7 linked regions of the Sus scrofa genome follow. The protein of the gene in region 2 purifies or fractionates together with the protein of the main gene of each other region. This does not show direct contact. Links are inferred from orthologs where the notes say so. Each region holds a gene or a part of one and is shown on either strand. Other genes may lie near its edges.

What was found.
Region 1: the proteins of SMC1A (region 2) and WAPL purify together in Homo sapiens (affinity purification with mass spectrometry; 7 studies listed by BioGRID and IntAct, with this or other methods). This does not show direct contact. The link is inferred for Sus scrofa from reciprocal best matches to the Homo sapiens genes SMC1A and WAPL.
Region 3: the proteins of SMC1A (region 2) and SF3B3 fractionate together in Homo sapiens (co-fractionation; 3 studies listed by BioGRID, with this or other methods). This does not show direct contact. The link is inferred for Sus scrofa from reciprocal best matches to the Homo sapiens genes SMC1A and SF3B3.
Region 4: the proteins of SMC1A (region 2) and CDCA5 purify together in Homo sapiens (affinity purification with mass spectrometry; 7 studies listed by BioGRID and IntAct, counting the BioPlex papers as one, with this or other methods). This does not show direct contact. The link is inferred for Sus scrofa from reciprocal best matches to the Homo sapiens genes SMC1A and CDCA5.
Region 5: the proteins of SMC1A (region 2) and USP13 purify together in Homo sapiens (affinity purification with mass spectrometry; 5 studies listed by BioGRID and IntAct, with this or other methods). This does not show direct contact. The link is inferred for Sus scrofa from reciprocal best matches to the Homo sapiens genes SMC1A and USP13.
Region 6: the proteins of SMC1A (region 2) and NIPBL purify together in Homo sapiens (affinity purification with mass spectrometry; 3 studies listed by BioGRID and IntAct, with this or other methods). This does not show direct contact. The link is inferred for Sus scrofa from reciprocal best matches to the Homo sapiens genes SMC1A and NIPBL.
Region 7: the proteins of SMC1A (region 2) and PDS5B purify together in Homo sapiens (affinity purification with western blotting; 8 studies listed by BioGRID and IntAct, with this or other methods). This does not show direct contact. The link is inferred for Sus scrofa from reciprocal best matches to the Homo sapiens genes SMC1A and PDS5B.

What each region holds. Positions count from the first base shown.
Region 1 is NC_010456.5:87,557,679-87,561,178, reverse strand, and holds part of WAPL (wings apart-like protein homolog), read left to right. Parts: intron 1-455; coding exon 456-1,499; intron 1,500-3,500. UniProt on the Homo sapiens protein: Regulator of sister chromatid cohesion in mitosis which negatively regulates cohesin association with chromatin. Involved in both sister chromatid cohesion during interphase and sister-chromatid resolution during early stages of mitosis.
Region 2 is NC_010461.5:46,199,349-46,203,426, forward strand, and holds the start of SMC1A (structural maintenance of chromosomes protein 1A), read right to left. Parts: upstream 2,801-4,078; 5' UTR 2,690-2,800; coding exon 2,581-2,689; intron 1-2,580. UniProt on the Homo sapiens protein: Involved in chromosome cohesion during cell cycle and in DNA repair. Central component of cohesin complex. The cohesin complex is required for the cohesion of sister chromatids after DNA replication.
Region 3 is NC_010448.4:13,576,519-13,579,181, reverse strand, and holds the end of SF3B3 (splicing factor 3B subunit 3), read right to left. Parts: intron 1,880-2,663; coding exon 1,775-1,879; intron 1,112-1,774; coding exon 971-1,111; 3' UTR 501-970; downstream 1-500. UniProt on the Homo sapiens protein: Component of the 17S U2 SnRNP complex of the spliceosome, a large ribonucleoprotein complex that removes introns from transcribed pre-mRNAs.
Region 4 is NC_010444.4:7,102,266-7,106,447, forward strand, and holds the start of CDCA5 (sororin), read left to right. Parts: upstream 1-1,382; 5' UTR 1,383-1,510; coding exon 1,511-1,556; intron 1,557-1,783; coding exon 1,784-1,878; intron 1,879-1,959; coding exon 1,960-2,025; intron 2,026-2,105; coding exon 2,106-2,141; intron 2,142-4,182. Other genes in the region: ZFPL1 (zinc finger protein-like 1), read right to left, coding at 287-398, 711-812. UniProt on the Homo sapiens protein: Regulator of sister chromatid cohesion in mitosis stabilizing cohesin complex association with chromatin. May antagonize the action of WAPL which stimulates cohesin dissociation from chromatin.
Region 5 is NC_010455.5:117,783,580-117,787,079, forward strand, and holds part of USP13 (ubiquitin carboxyl-terminal hydrolase 13), read left to right. Parts: intron 1-2,043; coding exon 2,044-2,218; intron 2,219-3,500. UniProt on the Homo sapiens protein: Deubiquitinase that mediates deubiquitination of target proteins such as BECN1, MITF, SKP2 and USP10 and is involved in various processes such as autophagy, endoplasmic reticulum-associated degradation (ERAD), cell cycle progression or DNA damage response.
Region 6 is NC_010458.4:22,151,167-22,155,254, reverse strand, and holds the start of NIPBL (nipped-B-like protein), read right to left. Parts: upstream 2,801-4,088; 5' UTR 2,361-2,800; intron 1-2,360. UniProt on the Homo sapiens protein: Plays an important role in the loading of the cohesin complex on to DNA. Forms a heterodimeric complex (also known as cohesin loading complex) with MAU2/SCC4 which mediates the loading of the cohesin complex onto chromatin.
Region 7 is NC_010453.5:9,199,694-9,203,193, reverse strand, and holds part of PDS5B (sister chromatid cohesion protein PDS5 homolog B), read right to left. Parts: intron 3,481-3,500; coding exon 3,276-3,480; intron 678-3,275; coding exon 563-677; intron 1-562. UniProt on the Homo sapiens protein: Regulator of sister chromatid cohesion in mitosis which may stabilize cohesin complex association with chromatin. May couple sister chromatid cohesion during mitosis to DNA replication.

The sequences.
Region 1 (3,500 bases), on a different chromosome or scaffold from region 2:
AAAGCCAGTGATCTAACCCGCATCCTCATGGAAGCTAGTTGGGTTTGTTACTGCTGAGCCACGACAGGAACTCTGTTTTTTTTGTTTGTTTTTGTCTCCTAAATTTAATATAAGCATTTTTATCTCAAAAATCCATAGTACCTCTGAGAAGGTTTGGTTGAGTTTCATTCTGAATTGATCTTTAACATTGTTGAAATCCCATGAGTTTAGGGTAACAATTTTAAGGGACTTGGATGCCTAGGGAGGGGTCACTAGAAGACATGAGACCTGCACACTGAAAAGGTAGAAGGGGAGATGTCAAATATGTAAACATTTATTTCTTTAAAATTGAAAGTTATTGCAGTTATTTCAAAATTAATTGACTATGCTATTAATTAGGCAACTGTCCTTTTTATTTAACTTTTACATTGATGTCATTCATGTTTTTATCCTTGACTTATTTTTCATTTTTATAGATAAAGTGGAGAGCTTTAGTGAAGAACATGAAAAGAATAGTCACCATATTTACAAAAATGCTGAAGACAGTACTAAGAAACCCAGTGCAGAAACTACAGTGGCTTCTGGATACAGAGCTGATGAAATCAAGGAAACCAATGATACTTGGAACTCCCAGCATGGAAAAAGATCAGAATCTCCATCAGAAACATCTCCAATCAAGGGATCTATAAGAACTGGTTTGTATGAATGGGATAATGATTTTGAAGATATCAGATCAGAAGATTGTGTTTTAAGTTTGGATAGTGGTCCTGTTTTGGAGATGAAGGATGAGGATTTAAAAAATCGATTGGAAAATCTAAATGAAGCCATTGAGGAAGACATCATGCAAAGTGTTCTTAGGCCGAGTAACTGTAGGACGTACTGTAGGGCCAATAAAGCAAAATCCTCACAAGGAGCATCAAGTTTTGATAAGCTAATGGACGGCACCAGTCAGGCCTCAGCCAAAGCAAACAGTGAATCAAGTAAAGATGGCCTGAATCAGGCAAAGAAAGGCAGTGTAAGTTGTGGGACCAGTTTTAGGGGGACAGTTGGACGGACTAGAGATTATACTGTTTTGCATCCATCTTGCTTGTCAGTTTGTAATGTTACCATACAGGATACTATGGAACGCAGTATGGATGAGTTCACTGCATCAACTCCTGCAGATTTGGGAGAAGCTGGCCGGTTAAGAAAAAAGGCAGACATTGCAACATCTAAGACCACTACTAGATTTCGACCTAGTAATACTAAATCTAAAAAGGATGTTAAACTTGAATTTTTTGGTTTTGAAGATCATGATGATACAGGAGGTGATGAAGGAGGTTCTGGGAGTTCTAATTACAAAATTAAGTATTTTGGCTTTGATGATCTCAGTGAAAGTGAAGATGATGAAGATGATGACTGTCAAGTGGAAAGAAAGACAAGCAAAAAAAGAACTAAAACAGCTCCATCACCCTCCTTGCAGCCTCCTCCAGAAAGCAATGATAATTCCCAGGACAGTCAGTCTAGTACTAATAATGCAGGTAAGACTTAAAAAAAATTATTGCAAGTAAATAGGTTTTTCAGGCTTAAATAACAGCTACTTAGTTTCCTCCTAGATAATCAATTTTAGTTTGTTACCATGTTTAATTTTAATAGAAGTACCTATTTAGAGTCAAAGATTACCTTATCCAAAGATACAGCACTTTAAATGTTAATAAAGTTCCACTTTGTTAGGAACCAACTTGTAAATGGAAGAGTCTTTTCATGTTTGTATTTTATTTCCACCATTAGCAGTTGAGTTTTTAAAGTGTGTGTGTGTGTGTGTGTGTGTTCTTGTGTCTACAGGTTTTTCAACTTCGAAAAACCAAATGCAGTGGAGACATAAGGATAGATTCTGGTCATTTAGTATGCTGTTGATATTAAATGGTTATAATGAGGGAAATATGGGAACATTGAAATAAAGCCTTTGTAGTTGTCTCAAAACTAATCAGCTAATGTTAAAAATGTTCTAAAGAAATTTTAAACTTATAAAGTTAAGATTAAATCTTAATCTTTGGAATCACTCACTTGGAATTCCCGCTGTGGTGCAGCAGGTTTAAGAATCTAGCATTGTCTCTGTGGCAGTGCCAGTTTGATTCCTGGGCCTGTGCAGTGGGTTAAGGATCTGGTGTTGCTACAGTTGTTGCGTAGGTTGCAGCTGCAGCTCAGATTTGGTCCCTGGCCAGGGAACTTCCATATATTATGGATGTGACCGGAAAAGAAAAAAAAGAATCACTCTCTTAAATTGAGTTAATACTATTGAAAAGTGCTGATTAAGTATTTATACACTCTTACCAGTGAAAAATTAATTTGCACTTTAAGATAGATAGTAGAATCAGTAATGACTCCGCCTTTGAGGAGTTGGTAGTCTCCACTGTGAGAGACAAAGGAAAGAAATAGGTTGGCTTTGCTCTGAACAAGTCATTACTTGACAAGGGCTTTGTGAAGTGGATTGAGTATTGAGTGAGGAAGCCTCAGTGTGAAAGCCTCTGGGACACAGGGGCTATCTTTATTTATATTTAACCAGTACAGTTTTCCTTAACAGTTTACTTGTTAAATAAAGCTTTTGTCCTTTTAAGGTCGTAGAAGAGTTATTATGGTGAATTAAAATTATCATAGTATTCATACATATAGGTTCTCTTGTAAAGTATGTCATACCATTTTGCTTTATTTGGCTTAAAAATAGTTTTGCTAGATTAGAATCATGTGCATAAATAAGTTTCAGAATTTATCCAATGTTTTGAATCTCTTCTGGAGAACTGAAGTTTGCTGCAGCCTTGCTCATCACTTGAGATTTGACGGGGCAAACAGCTTTACATTTGCTTTCTCAGGAGGATGATAAGTTAATTATGTAATGAAACCTGAGCTCCATTCCTGCCAGAAGCTACTTGACTCTTATGCTAACCTTGATAGCAAATTATCCTAATCTGCAGGTCAGAATCTGTGGCTGAAATTTATATTTTAAAACAATAAACTTTTTAAGCTTTAAAATAAGAAGGTTGGAATCTGAGTCTTCATATATTGTATGAATAGCAATCATTTTTAAGGATTGGAATAGAGAAAAGTTTATTTTTTTATTTTCTTTTTTCTTTATTTTTTGGTTTCGGTCAGAAAAATTACAACCATTTGGAAATTAATACTTTGGTTAGTTTTGTGGGAATGTATATCCACAAACGACTGAACTACATTGTACTAGGTCATTCTATGTCTTTTGCTAAGGATAACTATATCCTTTTTTTTTTTTTTTTAAATGTGACTTTTGTAGATGTAAGTAGGCATTCTTTAAAGGCAAGTGTGATTCAGTGTACTTAAATTCTGGAAAAATAGTACAGGTAGATACCACCTAATGGTATGTATATGTGTGTGTGTTTAAACTAGACCATACCAGCGTCAGTGTCTATAGATATCTAGCAGTTATATGAACTTTATATAAGAAGAACTTTATATAATTTGAAGAACAAATATTCTGGAAAATAATTAATTTTGGCAGTAAAACTGGAGCA
Region 2 (4,078 bases):
TAGCCACCGGCCTACGCCAGAGCCACAGCAACGCGGGATCCGAGCCACGTCTGCAACCTACACCACAGCTCACGGCAACGCCAGATCGTTAACCCACTGAGCAAGGGCAGGGACCGAACCCGCAACCTCATGGTTCCTAGTTGGATTCGTTAACCACTGCGCCACGACGGGAACTCCCCTTTGGGTTTCTCCCATGCTATCCAAGGATGGCAAGAACATCTCACAACCAAAGCCCCCCACTCCCAATCATGCAATACTGTAAACATGCATTATGACTAGAACAATGACACTATGTTTTAAGGAATGTCTTATTAAATGTCTTCTCCATAGACCAGTGACTGAAGATAAAAAACATATACCATGAATAAAAGATAGAAGAAAATAAATGTTAACATGTACCAAATGTCTACTGTGTGCCAGAGAGGAATTCACTAAGGGGAATCAACCAATGCCTTGTGGAGTCCCGTATTGAAGAATGGGGCAGAAGTGACCCACTCCCACCCGCTGCAGTCAGACCAGGGCCTTTTCAGAATAGCTGGGTATACAAATTTTTCCATGCTGAGGGGACTAGATGCCAAGAGATGCATCCCTGCTCTTTCCACAGGGGCCACCACACCAAACTCCTAAGAAACTGCAGTGGAACCCCAAGCATTAGTCATCTAGGCCAGTAGTTCGCAAATGAGGTAGGGTAGGGGGAGAGATTTTGCCCCTGCCTCCAGGGGACATGACAAAGTCTGGAGACATTTTCATTGTAACACCTGGGAGTAGGGGCTGGGGGGTGTGCTACTATCATCTAATGAATAGAAGACAAGGATGCCACTAAACATCCTACAATATACAGGACAGACCCCACAGCAAAGAAGTATCTTGCTGGAAATGTCAATAGTGCCACTGTTGAGAAACCCTGTTCAACGGCTAAATCCAGGTCAGACTCCAGGAAGGTCATCAGTTAGAGCTACTGCAGTTAGGGAAGCCCCTCGGGCTAGGAAGTGATTTAGCTAGAACACCTCCAGGGTGGAGAAACACAGCAGAACTTCAAACAGACAGCCTACTGGGGAGTAGATGGGAGGAATCCATGGTGTATCATTTAGAGATGGAGAATTTAGATATGAAATAGAGGCCTTATCTGGCTACCCCTCCTTTTGGCTTTCCTTCCCTTCTCTTTTCTTTTTTACTTTTCCACCCAGTTTTAATTTGATATAACTAACATGCAACATTGTATTAGTTTCAGGTGTACAACATGATTCTGTATTTGTATATATTACAAAATGGTTGCCACAATAAATTTAATTAACATCGATTACTGCAGTTAATTTTTTTTTTGGTCTTTTTTTTTTGCCTTTTCTTGAGCCGCTCCCGCGGCATATGGAGGTTCCCAGGCTAGGGGTCTAATCTGAGCCGTAGCCATCGGCCTACGCCAGAACCACAACAACGCGGGATCCTAGCCGAGTCTGCGACCTACATCACAGCTCACGGCAACGCCGGATCCTTAACCCACTGAGTAAGGCCAGGGATCGAACCGGCAACCTCATGGCTCCTAGTCGGATTCGTTAACCACTGAGCCATACCGGGAACTCAACCTCAGTTAATTTTTTCATGTGATTTTTTTAAAAAAAAGATCTCTCTTAGCAACTCTTAAATATGCAATACAGCATTGTTAATTAATGACCACTTTTTCTAAAGAGCTATCCAACTGATTCTATCATATTGTCACTGAATTACATCAATCTAATTTCCTGGATAGCACTTATCACAGCTGAAAAATAACTTATTTTCTCCTTTATTATCATCTGTCCTCTCTGAAATGTAAGTTCCCTGAGAGCATGGTTTATTCTAGTCTCCACTGTTTCCACAGAACGTTGATAGAATAACTCTTTATAAAACAGTAATAAGCATTGACTAAATTTGACGAGCAATTGAGTTCTGACTTTTGACGGTTTCAGGGGTAGGAAAGGGGTGAATTCGAGACATCCCCACCTCTCAGATGAGGGTGGGGGCTAGAGACCCCAAAGCACTCCGTAGACGCGAGCGCTGAGTCCGAAATTCAAAAGTGCCGCCTCTGGAGGAGGGTTTTTTTATTATTATTAAAAAGGGGGGGGGATTGAAGTGTACCAATGAGAGGCGGGAGGGGGCGCTGGGCTGAAGCAGAAGTATACCGTTTGGGCCGGAGGCCACGGGAGGGCTACCACAGTCCCAATCTTCCGGAGGGTTCAAACAATACGCTGAGGCCGGATGCAGCAGGTCGGGCGAGGAACTGCGTGGCCAGCGACTGGCAGCCGGCTCGGGACGCGCCACTTTTGGCGGGAGGGGGCAGTGGGCGGGGTAACGTTGAGTTCGGCCCGTACCACTCCGGCCCGGGCGGGGGCCGCGCAAAGAGCGGGCAACTGACACCTGGGGGTGAGGTTCGAGTCAGAGCACCCAAGGAGGGAAAGCGGGTCCGGGTCGAAACCCCTCAGGAGGGCAAGGAACCCGTTAGGGTTCGCAACACTTCTGGTTGCACAGGCTGGGTTGTACTACTCTGCTGCCGGATAGGGGGTCCAGGCTGGGACGTGCGCAGGGCCGCAGCCGGGCTTATCTCACCAGAGCCATTGGGTCCAATGATGGCGGTGAACCTCTGAAATGGTCCGATAATCTGTCGACCCTTGTACGACTTAAAGTTCTCGATCTCAATCAGCTTCAGGAAACCCATGACCGTGGCGGCGCCGGCAGCGGTAGGAAAGGCCGCGCCGTACGCCCGCGAACTGGGATAGCCCGCGCGGGAAACACCGCAGTGCAGGCCGGGCGGAGGGCAAACCTCGCGAGAATAAAGCCAGGCCTAACAGGATTTTCGGCTTCCGGCGCGGGCGGGAAACAGGGGCGGGGCCATCAAGCTGACGTAGAGGTTTCGTTGATCCTTTGCCAGGGCGCGAGATTATGACAGGCGTCTGGGCCCCACCCCCCCTTTCTTGTTACGTGGCAACAGAAACCGCCGCCGCTGCCTACACAGTTGCAGAGGAGGTGTCTGGGAGGAGTCTGCAGCTTTTGGGATCCCGAGAAGCTGGCAAACGGAGCCAGCGCTAGCAGAGACGAGTCAGAAATCACAGCAGGGTTATGCCCTCCAGGGCAAGAAGGTGGGAGCTGGGCTGTGGCTTTTGTCTGGCAGGCGCGAAGGCTTAGACAAGAACCCAGTCGGGAATTTGGAAGGGCCCCAGAGAACGGAGGGCTGTACGTGGGGAAGGAGAGGCCAGAGGGTTAGAGGAGCTCAGATCTTGCTGAGAATGAAGTAGAGTTGGAAGTGGAGTGGGGTGGGATAGAGTGTGAAGGGGGATGGAGGGTGAATGTATGGATATGAGGGTACTCTGGAGCGACTGGGTTATGGGCTGGGGAAAACTATAAATGGCCAGAGGTACTGCTCCGTCCCCTGCTTCCCTCCCGTTTCCCCAAGCAGGGTTCAGCGACTGCCGCTGTAGCCCAAGAATAGTCTTGGACCCGAGTCACTTGCTGACTGCTTGAGCCTAGCCCCAAACTGAGAGCTTCAAAATTGGGACTCCTAGCTGAGAAAGGTATTTTGTGTGAACCCCTGGGAGTCAGGGTCCCTAAGCCAGTGCTCTACACCTCTATCCTTCTTCCCTTCTCTCCACTTCACCTCTCTCTCTCTCCATGCCTCACCCCCATCCCATCTCCTCCCCTCTATCCCTCTCTGCCCCATCCCTTGCTCCCTCCCTTCCTCTTCTGTTCTCCACCTCCACCCCATCAACTGCCTGTTGCCCTTCTTCTTTTCCCCCTCTGTCCTCTTCCCCTTTATGTTTCCCATCTTTTCTACCCCTCTTCTCCATCCCTCACCCCCCCCCATCACCTTATACCTGCTAATAACTAAGCCATGGCTTTATGAGTCCAAGAAGCTGTCTGTGGGATCTTCCCCTTCAGTGTGACCTTATATCGTGGTAACAGATGAGTAGGCTGGGGTTGGTGCTTAGACTTAGACATGGAAAGGGTCTGGTGGCTGCCATAGCCATTCCTGTAACTATTTTTTAAATGATGCCTGGGGGGAGTCCCCATGTGGGGCAGCCCCCGTGTGGGGCAGCAGAAATGAATCCAA
Region 3 (2,663 bases), on a different chromosome or scaffold from region 2:
GCTGTGGAAGTAAAAGGAGCATCTATTAAGAGACTAGCCAGTTGGAATCCATGCCAAATCCTTTACTCTAAGGCCTCAAAGTAGAAAGGAGTTAAAACAGGGAAGGGAGTTCCTGCGACTTGGGTCGCTGCTGTGGTGCAGGTTCAATCCCTGGCCCTGAACTGCCATGGGCAAGGCCAAGACAAAATTAAAACAAACAAATAAACAAACAAAACAGGGAAGAAGAAATCAGCCATCCTTCCTCACTAGGTATGGATAGATGACCACACCAGTGGTATGGAGGACCACATGATTGTTATTACTGAGCCCAAATTTCACCTGCATAGTTGAAAAGACTAAAGAAAGCCAAAAGCCATCACAGAGCTGGGAGAATGAGGCCATAAGGTGCCAGAAATCTAAGTAGGTAGCTGGAAGGAGGATATTCATTTCTTCCTGCTCCAACTTAGGTTCAAATCTCCCACCTAAATTCTTATCCCCAGAAAAGACACATGGACACCAGACACCTTAAGAACTAGGTTTGTATTTCTGGTTATGTTCCAGAGTGGCAGAACTCTGGAATTGTACTATATAAATCTGGACCCCAGCTCAGCTTGCCTCTCTCCCTCCCACAAAGATAACATCATACAAAACTATATTTACAGGTAAACCAATTAAAAATTAAGGATGTGTACAAAAGTAGACAAGATAGCCAGAAATACTAATGCAAGAAAGCTTTGGGAAAATGGGTACTGTAGTCCACACTGGAACCTGGGGGCAATGAATTATGTATCAAGCAAGGAGAAGTGAAGCAAATCTCAGTGCCAATTTTAGGGGAAATCAGTCACTCCAGGGGAAGAGTGGATGGGGAAGAGCTATTAGCCTTAATATTGCAAAATCTTAATTTTCCAGCCACCCTCCTTCTGCCATATGGATCAGAGCCAGGTGGTGAGGAAAAAAAAAGTCTCTTAACAAGCCCCCATAAGAAAAGGGCTCAGAAGGCATAGCGAGTCCGGATGTCCTCAAGCTTCTTGGACACCTCAGGTGGGGTTCGGTCCAGTTCTTCAGAGACATTCTTTTGTTTGTTGGGCTCCATGGAGTTGAACTGCTCACAGAGGTCTCCATCAATCACATTCTAAGACACAGAAAAATGAGAGAGGAAGGAAAATGGCATATGCTAAAGCAGTAACTGCCAAAGAAAACTTTTTATTCTCCACCAGATACCTGAACTTTATAGAGCTAGGAATACTGTTCTAAGTTGATTCTTAGTAGCCAGAGTTTAAATGAGCAAAATGAGGTGAAATCTTTTCTCTGGCCATGGTCTGTCCTGAAGAAAGAGGTCTCTGAATATTCCTCTACCCTATTACTGTCTCCCATCAATTCAGTCCCTCAGTGCTCCTTTATATAAGACTGCTGTTTTTTTAAGGGGAGGGAGGCCCAGAGAAAAGACTGGTTAAATGGCTGAGGATCCCCCTTTTCTTTTTTTTTTTTTGGTCTTTTTGTCTTTTGTTGTTGTTGCTATTTCTTGGGCCGCTCCCGCGGCACATGGAGGTTCCCAGGCTAGGGGTCGAATCGGAGCTGTAGCCACCGGCCTACGCCAGAGCCACAGCATCGTGGGATCCGAGCCGTGTCTGCAACCTACACCACAGCTCAGGGCAACGCCGGATCGTTAACCCACTGAGCAAGGGCAGGGACCGAACCCGCAACCTCATGGTTCCTAGTCGGATTCGTTAACCACTGCGCCACGACGGGAACTCCGGATTCCCCCTTTCAACCCAGATTTCCAACAAAGACATACCTTAACAGGAAAGTAATAGGAACGAAAACTGAGGTGGTCTCGCCCACAGAGAGGGGGATGCTCAGATCGGAGGTGCATTTCCACATGCTGGAAAAAGTCATGATCCTGGTGGAAGAAACAAACAATATGTCACTAAAAGAAAAAATTTCAACAACTAGTCTACAATTTCTCAAAGCACAATGAACAGAGAAGCTATTGATTTTTACCACACAAACAAATCTCAAATATCTAATTGTTCCTGATGACCACAGGCTTTCCTGCTATAAGACAGCTAAAACTTGAAAAAACAAGAATGAAAACCTTTGTGTTTGCAGAACCATGCGAGAAAACATCATTTTTAAAAAAATTAACTATACTTAAATTAAAAATTTCTGAAATATTAGAGAGAATTTCCAAGTTAAAAACGACAGCAAAATAATGCATGTATCTTAATATGGGTATGTTTTCAATAATTTTCCAAGGAATAAAATAAATCACTTCAACTGACAAAATAATGAATGACTTGGGGAGATGATACGAAAAAAACACACTCAACACATCTCAAAATCGAACTATGGTTACCAAAGAGGAAACGTGGGGGAGAGGGATAAATTAGGAACCTGGAATCAACATATATACACCACTATATATGAAATAGATAACTAGCAAGGAGCTGCTGCATAGCACAGGGAACTCTACTCAGTATTCTGTGATACTGTGTATCAGAAGAATCTGCAAAAGAATGAATATCCGTGTATGACTAATTCACCTTGCTGTACACCTAAAATTAACACAGCATTATAAGTAAATTATACTCCAATAAATTATTATTATTATTTGTGTTTTCTATAGGGCCGCTCCGGTGGCATATGGAGGTTCCCGGGCTAGGGGTCGAATCGGAGCTGTAGCT
Region 4 (4,182 bases), on a different chromosome or scaffold from region 2:
AGCTACTGCTTGCAGCCACAACTACACCCACAAGTTTGGCTGGCTCTCACTCAACCCTCGACATTGGCAGGGAAGAAATTAGGAGCTTTAATTTCTAGGGACAGACACTAAAGCCCAGAAAGGGAAAAGTGACTTGCCTGAGCTCAAAGCAAGTAACCTAGCTGGACCAGAATCTGGGGCTCCAGCCTCCCAGGCCTGAGTGTCTCACTGTGCTGTTGCTTAGGGAGGGCCTGTTAACTAGTCATGCTGGGCCTGTCCTGATCCCCCCAAGTTGCCCAGGCCTCACCATAACAGATGAGGCGGGTCGTCTCCCGGGTGGCCAGGGGTACGTTGCACAGGCGGCAATTGGGGTTGTAGTCGCTATCTTGGAGCCACTGCAGATAGGACTGGACGATGCACTGGAGTGGGAGAAAGAGATCACAACTGGAGCAAGGGCTCCACAGCCCATCTCCCCAAGGCCCAGATGCCTCTTTTTCTCTCATCACAGAAGAGCCCCATCCTTTCATTTGACCAATGGAAAGACACATATTGAACACATACTGTATGCCAGACTCTGTCTTAAGAACTAGGGATGTAACAGTGAACAAAATCAATTAAGCTCTTGCCCTCGTGGAGCTTCCACTCTAGGGCCAAGACCTTCATGGATTTGGAGGAAGTCAATACCAACTGCCTACCTTGTGCCCTGCACAGGCACTCCCTTGAACACCCACCTTGGCATGATTGGCTACCAGACAGTGCTCGCAGACGTTGACTCGGTGTTCGAAGCAGAACAGGTTGGTCACTTTCCTCTTGGGGCACTTGCAAAGCCCCATAGTCGACCCTGAGGAAGGGGGTCAGAAGTGGCAGGGGACCAGGTTCTGGGGGCCGCCACTACGCACTCACCAACTCAGTTCGTTTCCACTCTTAACCGCCTTCGACACCTCTTGTATTCGCCCCAACCCCACATTCCTGCCCACCGTCCCTCTTCACTCCGAGACACGCCCCCTGCATAAATCCCACCTCCGGAGACCCCCCCATTCCTCCCATATCCCACCCGCGGCCAGACCCCTCCGATACCACCGGCCCCGCCCCCAGGGGCCCCTCCTGAGCCCCACCCCCTCAAGCCCCGCCCCCACCTCCTCCACAGACCGTACTCTGTGTTACCAATCCGGGGCTGCACCGGTCCCCAGAGGCGCGAGCTCCGCTCCGAGCCGCAGAAGGTCAGACTGCGCTCAGCCGAGTTCTCGCTCAGCTTTCTCCAGCTCAGAACGCTCCGATTATCCCTCCGCTGCCACGTCTCTTCCGGGTGCGGCGCGTGCTGATGACGCCAGCGCGCCACTGGCCCCGCCCCTGCAGACGCTAGACGTGGAGGCGGGTGCAAACGGTGTAACCAGGGCTTATCGGTCCTCCCGCCCAACGTCACTTCCGCTTCCTCCCGAGCGAGGCGGGCAATTCGAACGTTTGCGCTTCGGGTTGGCGCGGGAGCGTGCGGCCGTGGCGTCGGCGGCGAAGATCGAGCCCAAGGCTAGACATGTCCGAGAGGCGAACGCGGTCCGGAGGGGCCGCCCAGAGCTCCGGTGAGCGGAGGGCGCGAGGGAGAGATGGGGCTGAGCCGTTTGAGGGACGCAGTTCCGTGAGGAAGGCCCTCCCGCCACCCTCACTGCCTTTGGAGGCTTGTTCCCCGCCCAGGAAGGTGTCCACAGAGGGCTTGTTTGGGAGACTCTCTCGCTCTCTCCAGAACCTGAGGACTCTAAACTCTAAGGTCTAGAGTCCTCCCCCGCCTCCTAAATTTTTCTCTTTCCAGGGCCCAGGACCCCAACTCCTACTCAGTCTCTAAGGAGGTCCCAGCGGAAATCAGGCTCTGATCTTCCAAGCACCTTCCCAGAAATCCGGCCTAAGGTGAGCCCGGGATTCCTCAGTCCTCCTGCTCCGGAGGCCCCTGGACGAATGCAGAGCTCATGTTCACCCCTCTTCCTCCAGGCACCCCAGGCGGCTCCAGTCCGAAAGCCCATCGTCTTGAAGAAGATCGTGGCCCATACTGTAGAGGTGAGGGCTGAGAGAGGGTTTGAGCACGGGGAGCCAGAATAGGGGGCCGGCTGTGTGATCACTTAATGTTGTCTCCACAGACTCCATCTGTTCCCACGCCTCGAAGAAGCCCCAGGGTAAGTTCGTTTTCATTTTCTTAGTTGAAGGCAACCCAGGACACTCGAGCTGGGGCGTAATGGCTGCTCACATCTGCCTGGGGAGCTGTTTTTGTTGTATTTTGAAATAATTTACCTTTGGATACCTGCATGTGTTGCCAGTTTGGCTCACTTCTTGCATACTTGCGGTGTCTAGCTATTGTTGCGCTGGTATTCTCTACCATTTTCCTTTAAAAGTTGAGCTGTGGTTTTTTTTTTTTTGTCTTTTTAGGGCTGCACCTGCGGCATATGGAGGTTCCCAGGCTAGGGATCTAGTTGGAGCTGTAGACACTGGCCTACACCAGAGCCACAGCAATGCGGTATCTGAGCCGCATCTGCGACCTACACCACAGCTCACGGCAACGCCAGATCCTTAACCCACTGAGCGAGGCCAGGGACCGAACCTGCAACCTCATGGTTCCTAGTTGGATTTGTTTCCGCTGCGCCACGACGGGAACTCCAAGAGTTGAACTGTTTTAATTACTTTTTCTAGTCTGTTGTCCTTAGTATAGTATAATGTCCTTAACTGTTTTAGCAGAAATCATAGTTAAGGAGTTTCAGTAACAAGATCTGTGCCTGAAGGTATCATAAATGAGAAATGGTAACTGTCTTTGAGTAGCTCACAAGGCTTACAGTCAAGTGGGGAGAAAGAAAAAAATAAGTGGGAACAGTGTGCTGAAGACTGCAAAAGAGAAAGGACTAGGAGCTATGAAGGTGCCTAACCCAGACCAGGCAGCTTGGGGTATGTTTCACAGAAGCGTTTAAACAGAGTCGATGAAAACAGGTTGGGGGCATCCCAGGCAAAGGAAGCTGTGCTTGCAGACATCCTGAGTCCACAAGGAAAAGCACGAGGTTCGGGGAGCGGTAGCTTGTTTGGTGCGTCTGCAGCCGACCTTGGCAGGGAGTGTGCTAAGCCAGAGCGGATCTTGATGAGGCATGAAAGCCTAGCTTTCCTAAGCTTGGTTGGGCTTCCTTCTTGGCTCTGTGGGCAGCTTTAGAGAGTCTTCAGCAAGGTAGTAACTGAGGCAAGCCTGGATGTTTTAGAAAGATCCCTCTTGGGTCTGGGTGGAGAACAGGTTGGAGGAAGCCTTCTGGGGACCTCAGGCCAGGTGGGAGGACTTGAATGGAATCCTGAAGTGAGGTAGTGGGAGCCTGAAGTAAGGGAAAGGCAGAGTGCTGCTTTGCCCCCGGCTTACCACACAGCCACCCCTGTCACACAGGACTCAGCTCAAAGGACAGCTCCTCCTGGAAGCCTTTTCCATGTGGTTCTCCATAGGCCTTGTTCATAGCTGAGAGTATATTATTTGCATGTTTGTTGTCTCGAGGGCAGACTTCTGCCTCCACTATGATAGCCACTCTTTCTTATTGGTCGAATAATAGATTCATGAAATTGAGCCCCCCAAAAAACTGCAAGGACGTGGATGACTGCTTAGCTGTAGGGATTGAGGAAGTAGTCAGTGACCCCTCATTTTGTTCAACATCCCTTTTACTTAGACTCATGGGGCAGATTCCCCAGAGCTTGTACCAGGAACTAACCCTCCCCCCTCTCTTAATCAGTTTACTTTTTATTTTATTGAAGGATAATTGATTTACAGGGTCATGGTAGTTTCAGGAACTGGCTTGATAACCAAATATAACTTTATTAGACCAAAAGTGTCACTGAATTTGTCTTTTTTCTCTCCTTGCCTTGGCCGTCAGGAAACTCAGTGCCACGTTTTGCATAAGTTAATTCAGTGAGCATTTATTGAACACCTGCTGCATGCAGGGCTCCGCTGAAGGCGCTAGACATGGGCACAGGCAAGGTTAAGGTCCAACAGGTGGAAAGCCCTGCTCATATGTGAAGCTCACAGTCTAATTGGGTGTGACAGTCAACCAGTGAACAGCGAAAATGAGATAGTGATGGACTATCTGAGTCCACAAGGAAAAGCACGAGGTTTGGGGAGCAGTGGCTTGTTTGGTGTGACTGCAGCCGACCTTGGCAGGGAGTGTGCTAAGCCAGAGCGGCCTCCAGGAAAGAGGCCAT
Region 5 (3,500 bases), on a different chromosome or scaffold from region 2:
TTTGTGGAGTGAGGCCCCTTAGGAGGGTCTCTGGACCTAGGAAGCAGGAAGAAGGCAGATACTGGAACCAGGTGGAGGCTCAGGGGAAGGTTCCTTCAATCAGTCTGATCTGGTTCTTCATGAATTAGTAGAATTAACATCTTAGAAGCAGGAAAAGGAGAAATATCTGCTGACTTGCTTATCTCCCGTGAACTGGTCATTTTTGCAAAGTTCAGCCACTCCCCGGGTGACCTTTTCCTCTTTTTTTGGAGGGGATAGTCACTTAGTTGTGTTAATTAGAAAGTGATGATTATGATGATTTTTTTTTGGCTGCCCCACAGCATATGGAGTTCCCAGTCCAGGGATCAGATCCAAGCCGCACGACCTCAGCTGCAGCTGCGCCCTGGCTCTGCAGAAATGCCCCTGTTCCTGTTGTGCCACATCAGGCACTCTTGTGATGATTTTTAAGATGGAATGATTTCCATTTTCTATAAACTCATGCAGCTTTTGACTAGTTTATAAATTCTTAATTTTTTTTTTAATTTGTCTTTTTAGGGCCACACCTGTGGCATATTGAAGTTTTCAGGCTAGGGGTCAAATCAGAGCTACAGCTGCCAGCCTGTGCCACAGCCATAGCAACACCAGATCTGAGCTGTGTCTGCAACCTACAGCATAGGCCACAACAACTACAGATTCTGACCCCCTGACCGAGGCTAGAGATCGATCCTGCAGGGATGAATCCTAGTTGGATTTGTTTCCACTGCACCACAATGGGAACTCCTAGTTTTTAAATTCTTATTCATTATACAAAGGAAATGATGGTGGGGGTCTGTGGTTTGTTTCCTTTTTAGCACCAGGCTTCATCACTTTCTCTTGCCTACTTTGGGGATAGTGACTTACATATTCTGCTCAGTTCTGTGATCTTCTCTAATTGACTGTTGATAGCTTATGAGAGGTAACTTTTTTTTTTTCAGGAAAGAGATTTATGATTTAGTCTCAGAAAATTGCTGGGAATGCCTAATGCTAGCATCCTAGATAGAAGTACATTGTAAACTGATTGTGGACTGGGGAATGAATTGTAAAAGCATATCCAGATGTGTTTAAGAAAACACAAGTGTTTATCAGTGTGCCAAAAAGCTGATAAATCAGGAGTGATTTTTTTTTTTTTTGGTAACACAAAAGAAATTCCCAGAAAGTTCCATTCAAAATCTATATAACATTTTGACTTTGGCTTCCCTGCTCTCTGCAGTGTCGGGTAACCCCAGCATGAAGTTGTCTTGGCAGTGTTTGTTAGAATCTTGGGCTGGGTGCCTCGGATAACTGCAGTTCTTGTAGTTCTTCCTGCTCCTTGGCCCACACCCTCCATGACCTCTAATTGTAGTGACAGGCCCAGGAAGAGGTGAGCCCTCAGGTCTCTTTCAGTGTGAAATTCTGTGGTGTGAAGGCTTTGTGATTTGAGGGTGGTGTGTGGTTAAACCAGCCTTGACTTCTGGACAAATGAAAGACCAGGTTCATGCATCACTTATGGCACATGTGTGGTTTGACCCCCTCACTTGGGTGGGAGTTGATAGTTCCCTCCTATCAGTCTCAAACGGAATGGGTAAAAAACTATGAATGGCTTGATGCAGCCTGGTGGTGCCACTCTAAACAAGCTTTGAGCAGGCTTCTGTGGCTCTTTGAGGGCAGCAAGTAAGCAATCCTGTCCCAGCCCAGGACCTTCAGGGAAGATTGCTCATTGTCCAAGGGGTTTTGTTTTTTTTTTTTTTAGGGCCACACCCTTGGCATATGGAGGTTCCCAGGCTAGGGGTCCAATCAGAGCTACAGCTACTGGCCTACACCACAGCCACAGCAACACCAGATCTGAGCCACATCTGTAACCTGCACTACAGCTCACAATGACACCAGATCCTTAACCCACTGAGCAAGGCCAGGGATTGAACCCTCAACCTCATGGTTCCTATTCGTATTCGTTTCCCCTGAGCCATGATGGGAACTCCCAAGAGGGTCTTTTTTATTTCAAGAAGATAAGTGATTGCAAAGTCATTTGTTTGCTCTTTTGCTTAGATGAGTTGATCGCCTATGAACTAACGAGAAGGGAAGCAGAAGCAAATAGAAGACCCCTTCCCGAGTTGGTGCGTGCCAAGATACCATTTAGTGCCTGCCTTCAGGCCTTTTCTGAACCAGAAAACGTTGATGATTTCTGGAGCAGTGCCCTACAAGCAAAGTCTGCGGGTGTAAAGTAAGTGTGTGTGTGTGTGTGTGTGTTTGTAATGTTTCTGCACTCGCTTATGTGGTGGCAGTAGGGTAAGGAGGGGACCTTGAGAGGTGGGGACTGTGGTAGGGAGGGTTGGCAGGCACTGTATGAGTCTGGGCATGCTTGACTCAAGTGTGGTGAAATAGGATTATAATTTACACAACCATAGTTGTCGTAGACCTCACTTGTATGAGACTTGTACAGTAAAACAGGCTTGTTGTAATCTATATCATATGCAAGGATGTGGATGCCTTTAAAAAAAAGCCAGGCTGTGGTTTGTCCTCTTTAGGGAATTTGCCTTTTTTTTTTTTGGCCAAGAGGGGGTAGTCAAGAATCCTTCCCTGCTTCAAGAATGATATCAGAAGTATAAATACTTCTGAGAGTCTTCAATTTTTAAACTCTACTGTGATAGACTTTAATTTGATAATGAAAGATTTGCTGGAGTTCCTGCTGTAGCACAGTGGGTTAAGGATCTGGTGTTGTCTCTGTGGTGGCTCAGGTTGCTGCTGAAGCTTGGCGTCGTGGGTTAAGGATCTGGTGTTGGTGCAGTTGTGGCATAGGTGGCATCTGTGGCTGGGATTTGATTCCTGACCATGGAACTTCCAGATGCTGTGGGTGTGGCAAAACAAAAAAAAGATTTGCCTTAGGACTTGGTGGCTGTGGTCCTGCCTGGCAGCTGGGGCTCTGAGGGTTTCTCAAAGGGGACATCAGGGATCCTGAGCATTGTTCCAACGAGCTGCTTAGGATGTGGTCAGCAGGTGTTCTAAAAGCCTTGCTCTCAGATACATAAGAATTTTGATATTCTTGTTGTGGTGCAGCAGAAACAAATCTGACTAGTATCCATGAGGATGTGGATTCAATCCCTGGCCTCTCTCAGTGGGTTAAAGATCCATTGTTGCCATGAACTGTGGTGCAGGTCTCAGATGTGGCTCAGATCCCATGTGGCTGTGGCTGTGGTGTAGGCCAGCAGCTGTAGCTCTGATTCCACCCCTAACCTGGGAACTTTCATATTCCAAGGGTATGGCCCTAAAAAAGCCAAATAAAAAATTTTTTTTTCCTTATTTGACACCTTAATTTTTTTTTTTTTTTTTTTGGTCTTTTTGCTATTTCTTGGTCCGATCCCGCGGCATATGGAGGTTCCCAGGCTAGGGGTTGAATCGGAGCTGTAGCCACCGGCCTACGCCAGAGCCACAGCAACGCGGGATCCGAGCCGCGACTGCAGCCTACACCACAGCTCACGGCAACGCCGGATCGTTAACCCACTGAG
Region 6 (4,088 bases), on a different chromosome or scaffold from region 2:
TGAGGTTTTACTCGAGTTTTACAATGTCTTCTCCTTTAAAAATAACCTCTTTAATTGGTTTGGACCAAACAGAAAATATTTTCAATCTACTTTAAAGAAATATTTATGCTATCTTAATGAAAGCTATCGCACCATCTATATTACTTAGATTACTAAATATGTAGAATTAAGGAAATAAGATCTGATAAGAACTAATTCACTTTAATTCCAAAGTCACAATAAAAAAAAATCAATTACATAAATAGATATCTAACATACTGATTCAAACATCTGTGTAAGAAAGCTCCTTAACTATAAAATGCTAAAGATAAGTTGCTCCTGTCGATGAAAACTAAGCAAGCAGAACTCTTTCCATTACCTTTAGTAGAAGTATGTTCATCCCTTGACATAGTCTATGATATTTAAATAAAAGTTGTAAAGACAATCACAGGATCATATAAGGGCCTTTTAAACATTTATATTGAAGCCCTTACCCCACCCCCACCCCCAAACCCTCCGCTTAAGAAGTGAACAGTCCCTCCCTTCGGTATTCTACACCCCCCCACCCCCCCAGCCCCCATTCGCGTGCCCCCCACCCAGTGTAGGCCTGAGGCCCTGTAGCAAACAGTGTCTAACAGGAGCAGGCAGCACAAAGACAGGAATGGGAGATTAGTGGGAGGGAGGGAGGCCGGGATTGGGGCTCAGCAGGAGCTTCAGGCTTTTTAAAATTCAAACTGCTCCCTGACCAATACAAATCACGGACACGCTACTGACTACTACACGGATTTATAGCATTAAAAACATGCCTAGTACGTGACAGCTATATTAACTTCACTCTTCTTAACTTTATTCATACGTTTGCAGGAAATGTGCAACAATTTATTTTAAGCAGAGGGCTAAACTCAAAAGTAATCTTCAGAAAACTTCCTTATTCTACAATGGCAATAATATCTAATGAGACACAAAATATGTAACACCCACTAATAAAACAAGGGACGTTGTTGATCAGTGTTGCTTCATTTTAACCAATGAAAGTTTTCCTTCAGTGAATATGAGACAAAGTATCAAAATAGCCCAACCCAGGTCCATTTATTTTTCTATGCAATTTGTATGGCTGAGGACTTTTAAATTGGTTTTTCCCTTATACCAACCTACACTACTAACGCCACCATAAATAAGCTCTATACACTTAACTTACTTGTGAACTAGAATTTGTTAAGATAGAACTGGTATTTTTCTCCAGCATTACAGATACATTTGACCTATTAAAATGACACCTCTCTCATTACACAGTCAAACATCATGGGCACAAACAGCCAATGGCAATCCTGGGACCTCAAGAAGATCTGCCCTGACATGAAAGGATGGCACCTTGTACATTTTTTTTTTTAACCTCCCAGGGATTTTAAGCATAACTTATTTTCTACCCTTTTAAGAAAATTGGTTGTACCTGTATGTCACTACCATTCTCAGAACATTGAAAATTCTTTCTAAGCTTCTACACGTTTAGATCAGGAAGTACCTGAGTGTTTCATGCAAAGTCGTTTAAAACTGTCCTTATATAACGCACACAAATATAAAGTGGCAGGATAAACCTGTCAAGTACTTTATACTTGTCTTTGAATAAAAAGTCCATGTGCAACACACTGTCAAACAACAACATAAAAGCTCTCTGCGTGGTTGGGGAGGTCATATGTAGTGTCTACCACACTATGGTTTTCTGTATTAAATATTCATGTGGACGATTTAATTCTTTTTAAAAAGAAAATGAGTCTTTATTAACTTTCCAACGTCCAAACAAGTTTTACACAGGAAAAGAATTACCACTGGATCCGTGTCTGAGTATTTACATTTGTCTCACTAACTGAAACTACTTCCTCCCTTCATGGGGTCACAGGGGGAAGAAGGGGGGTTGTTTGTTTCACTGGGACGTTCCCCACTCCCGGACCAGGAAAGTTGTAAATATGGGGACGATCAGGGCACATTTGCTGTTAGTTGTATTGTTTCCGCCTCCTCACTAGCTACGGCTCTTCTCCCGGGCGAGGCCTGTCACCGACCAGCAGTAGCTCCGCTCAGCCCGGAGCTCTCCTAATCCCCGAGCTCAAGTAGATTCCGCTGGCCCGCGGCCTGCACTCTCCGCCGGGCCTACGCCTCCCCGGCCGCCCGGCAGGAGCCCAGTCCCCGCCACCGGAGCCGGCCGGGAGAGGGTACAAAACCACCGCCACCCAGGGCGGCTGCCACCAGAGAGGAGCGAACTCTAGACTCGCCCGTGGAGGAGACCTGGGGCCGCTAAGGAAACGGCCGGGAGGGGAGCGAGGAGGAGAGACGCTGAGGACCTGGCGCCGCCGCCGCCGCCGCCGAAATAAAGAGCAGGAATTTACCTGGGCGAATCGGCGTCTGAATCCAAGGGGAGGCCGAGGCCGCTGTGGCGAGAGACTATAATCCGGGCCGGGAGGGGGGGTGGCTACGGCTCCTCTTCCGTCTCCTCAGTGCGGGGAACATGTAGAGCCGGGGGGAGACCAGCCGAGAAGACAAATCGCTGCTTCTTCTTCCTCCTCCTCCTCCTTCTCCCACATAGAAACACTCGCAAACACCCGACCAGGGGCCCGAGCTACCGGGGGGGCATCGCCGCCGGCCCGGGAACCAATCCTCCTGTCGGCGGGGGCGTCCCTCCCTGCGGCTTGGTGGTGTCGGGTGAGTCGGTACCGACGGAGGGAGGGGGGGAGGGCGGGGGGGAAAGGAGCCCTGTGTGTGTCTCTCTCTCTCGTTCCGTCTCTCCCTCGCAGAACAAAATGCCGACCGGAAGTGCAGCTGCAGGAATGACTCCCTCCGCCGGCGCCAAACACTAACAACCACCCCCTCTTCCCCACTCCACTTCCGCCACCGCCGCGCCGCCGCCACCACTTCAGCTCGCGTCCTCGGCCGCGCCGGACTGCACGGCCCGCGCCTCTCCGCACCGCACCCCGGCCCGGCGGCGGCCGGCAGCCGGCAGAGAGCAGGCGGTGGTTCTCTTCTGCGCCTTTCTCCTCCTCAGGGCGGCTGTGGATGTTGCCTTTTATTGTCGATCCTACGTAGCGGCGTTTTCGCTGCGGCACGGACGGGCCGGGTCTTCCTGTTCTTTATTTTCCTGGAGGCCGACCGGAGCGGGCCCCGAGTTCGGTGGTGGTCGTGTGCGTGGGGGGCGCTCAGGTCCGGACCGGCTCGTAGGCCGCTCACGCCGTTGCAGCTGCTCGTCATTAGCTCTCGGGAGCCGAGCTCGGGGCGGCCCCATAGAGGACGCCCGCAATCCGACGGCTACCGTGCATTTTTTAAATGGTTTCCCTGCAGCCGGGTGGATGGATGTATCGTAATGTACGCCCTTCTCTCCTTCTGAGAGGCCGAACTTTACGCCCGTCTCTGCATTATTTCTGCGGAGTAAGAACGCACCCCTTGGAGGAGAAGAAGATTCTCAGCTGGATTGAATTGGAGTCGCGTTTATGATGCATTTATTTCTGGAAATATGTGGTCTTTTCTGGTCTTGCTTTTTGTTGGCGGCGGTTTGGGCTCTTGCCTAACAGTCGGGATAAAGGCCTGTAGGCGACGCTGTTCGAGCCAGGAGCCGGCTCAGCGGGCCCGGAGCGCGCGAGTCCGCGCCCCCCACTAGGTGTGGGTGGAGCCGAGCGCGCGACGAGAGCCGGCGGAATGCGGGCCGCGGGTGGGCCTGGGGCCAGCCGATTTCAGACACCGTTTTCCTCTTTGCGTTTCAAACAGTGAGGTACCACTGGCCAAGGCTGGAGAACAGATGCGATTATGTGTACCGCGCCCTTTGTGTCTCTTACTGAAACACATGAATTAACTTTATCGTTCCGCAGTTCACTATTAACGTTTACTAATGTAAATTACAAGGGGGCTATTCTTCAGGTAAAAAGTGCATAGGTAAGAGAATTTTACTCAAATAGGACGGAATTTGTGGTATACTTTTCTGCATTTCGTTGAGTCGTACGTAAATTATATTGTTTATGTATTTGTATGTGTACCATTACGCCAAAAGTAAATAGGAAAATTTGCCTACAGGTTATTCCTTCTGCCTCAAAAATCTCTCAAAGGATTAAATCGGATCTTGTCGCTCT
Region 7 (3,500 bases), on a different chromosome or scaffold from region 2:
ATTGATATTCTTTCAGCCTGTCTACAAGAATCTTTGAAAGAACTGCAGCTTTTAGAAGCTCTAATGAGAGAACCACCAATGAAGGAGCAAGCAGGCGCAGTTCCCTGGTTATCAACCTGGGCTATTAGCGAATCAGACCACTTCTCTCTTCCTTAGGGAGGAAGATGGTAACTACAAAGAAAATGTCCTCACCATGTGAATAAAGAGAGTATTAATTCACCCCAAATGAAAATCTATACATCATTACAGAGGAAAGTAGGAAAAGATAAGAGTTGGAATGGAAACTCTTAATGGACTGCTTAAGTAGAAGAGAACTGTTAGGCTGGTAGAGAAATAGGACAGTAATACAATAATTATGCTAGGTTGTTTGGGGAAACTATCTAAGAAATGAAATGTGAAGCAATGGTATGAAAAAAGAAAGAGAACAAATAAGGTAAAGAATCTTAAACTCCTAATAAATGAAATAAATTTAATAAACTGATTATAACTAAGATTCCATTATCAGCAGGAAAGGGGAAAAAACTTTCAGAACATATGAAAATGGGATGGAAAAAAATCTTACTCTTTAACATCTTTAAGTTGTTCAATATCCTGTACTTTGACATAATCTGGGTCATGTGCCAAAAGGTGAATTGTATATGGAACAACATACTCGGGTAGAAGAGACAATAATTTTTCTGAAAAAGAAAAAAAAAAAAAAAAAAAAAGAAAGAAAAAAGAAAGAAACAAAACAAAACAAAACAAAAACATCCAGGTTAGAAAACCAAGTTTTACTCATTCTCTTTCTCTCTGATACTCTATTTCCTCTACCCCAAAAGTTTACCACAATATGGTAATACACTGAAACGTCCAATGCTGAGGTACATCATAAGTTAAACAGCTTATTCATTCATCCATGATGTCCAACGTTGAAATGCCTACTAAATGCACATGTGCTGAAGCTACAAAGACAAATATTGGAATTTTCAATAGATAGAGGGAAAAGTGACCCAAACCATATTCAAGACTAAGAAACATAAGAACTATTTGTCTTTTTATTATTAGCAACTCAATATTCAATACTCCCTTGTAAGCTGCTGAGCAAAATGATAAAAACTAGTAAATGTTTCATTTAGTACGGCAGAAAAAATTACGAAGTAAAGGTTGACACTCTGGCTATTATTTGTAACAGAAGAACAGATATAAAGGAATAGATTCTGTTTATAGGGCATTTTAAATAACAAAGTTTAATTTAAATTCAAATATTTTTATATTTTGACTGAGATCTACGTATTTTATCAAAGGTTAAAAATGGAAATCCTATCTAGTTTTAGTACAGATTACTCAAAAGACCAGGATTCATATTCTGAACAATTCCTTTCATGTTTCCTACTCTCAAAATAAAATTTTAAATCAGATGTTCAACCTAGAACACAAAAATATATGTGTCAATAAGGCACCAAGTTTTCTTTATTTCTATTACTGAACTCAAAGAAAATAGTTTGTGTGTAATATCCTTCATTTCAAGGTAGGTATAGAAGAAGAAAAATGTAGCAAGTTTCAAAATTCAGTGAAATTTGAATTAAAGTCTATCAAATAGTTACTGAGCGCTTCCTCCTCTTTTCTAGGTCTACTATTTTTTATCGGGGTTTCCTATTTTAAATGTAAAGATGAATACAACTAGATAAAGACCTCACACTAGAGCACAGACAGGACAGAAGCTATACTTCATTATGGAAAGTGCCCTAAAATAAGACTAGCTAACAACTACTGAGTATTTCTTTGGACCACGCATTATGACAGGTCCTTTATACACATAATTTTTTAGTCCTCATAACTAACATAAGACATGAGTAAAATTATACTAACCTTACAAATAAGGAAACTAAGGCTAAGACTGCAACAGTGACCTGCCCAAACACAATTAGTAATTGGCAGGGGTGGGTTTGACTCCAGAGCCCTCATTTTTTACAAGGTGAGGAAAGAAGAGAACAAAGAGGGTCCCAGTGATGAGGAAACACCAAAACTGTATTTTAAAAGATTCAAAGGGGGCGCAAACCACTCTCCTTGGTTTTGTTTATCTGTTTGGCCAGAAGGGGGAGGCAATTTCCAGGCAGAGTTGACAAAAGAGAAAAAAAGACAACTGCACAAATTTCAAATTATCTAGAGTATGAGGATCACAGAATTTACAGTAGGGAGTGGCTGAGAGAAAGCTTGAAACTCAGGGTAAAAATAAACTATAAAGGGCTATGCTCATGCTTTTCAACCTGATCCTATGAGCAATAAGGAATCAACAGGGATTTCAAGTAAGGAAGTGATGTGATCTGATCTGTTTTAGAAAGATTACTTTGATAGTAATGTGGCACAGCTGGAGATGGGCCAGAAACAGGGGAACATTTGCACAAGGAGTTAATTAGGAGTATATATGATAACCCAAGTGAAATATACCAGAGTAGGAGAGCTGAGGAGAAATATTCAAGATATTCAGAAGAAGAATTAAGAGAATTTAGTGACCAATGAGAGGAACAAAGAAGACATGAAGAATGTCTCTGATTTCTGACTTGCATAACTGGATGGATTTTAATGATGTTAAACAAGTCCAAGAAGTCAGAGAGGCACAAAAACTAACAGCATGGAGGGGTAAAGTGAGCAGCTTTTAAAAAGGCACATAGGAACCTGCTCTTCATGTCAGCTACAGGTAAGGTCAACCAACAAAGATCAAAGAACAATCTATATAAATGTACTTTTTACTGTTTTATTAAAAGTACCTCCCATGGAGTTCCCGTCGTGGCTCACTGGTTAATGAATCTGACTAGGAACCATGAGGTTGTGGGTTCGATCCCTGCCCTTGCTCAGTGGGTTAAGGATCCGGTGTTGCCATGAGCTGTGGTGTAGGTTGCAGACGCGGCTCGGATCCTGCGTTGCTGTGGCTGTGGTGTAGGCCGGGGGCTACAGCTCCATTGGACCCCTAGCCTGGGAACCTCCATATGCCGCGGGAGCGGCCCAAGAAATGGCAAAAAGACAAAAAAATAAATAAATAAAAGTACCTCCCAAGTCACTGCTTATTTCCTTTGGCCTTTCAGTCAGTTACATAAAGAGGTATAGGTTGATATTTAAATGCCCATGCATTTCTATTTTAAAATGACCTTTTAAAAGGAAAAGTTGTTATTGAAAAGAGCAACACTCATATTTAATGAGGGTCAGTTAGAATAAATAACAGTACCATCATCTTGAGGTTTATAAAACTGAAACTGGCAGGACGGAAAAGGACACTTTTCATTTTCATGTACGCTTACCACTAACAGCTGCATGCTGCTTCAAATACTCGCGCCTCACATTGATATTTTTTACCAGACACTGCCTGGCATGAGCTCTTCTTTCTTTTACAGGATCTTTTGCACAAAGTGCACAAATGGCCATATACTCAAGCGGAAGCCGTAATCGGGAAAGGCCTTTGTGAAGTTTCTGAGCAAATACTTGTCTTACTTGGTAGCATTCATCCTGTGAAGACACAATTATTC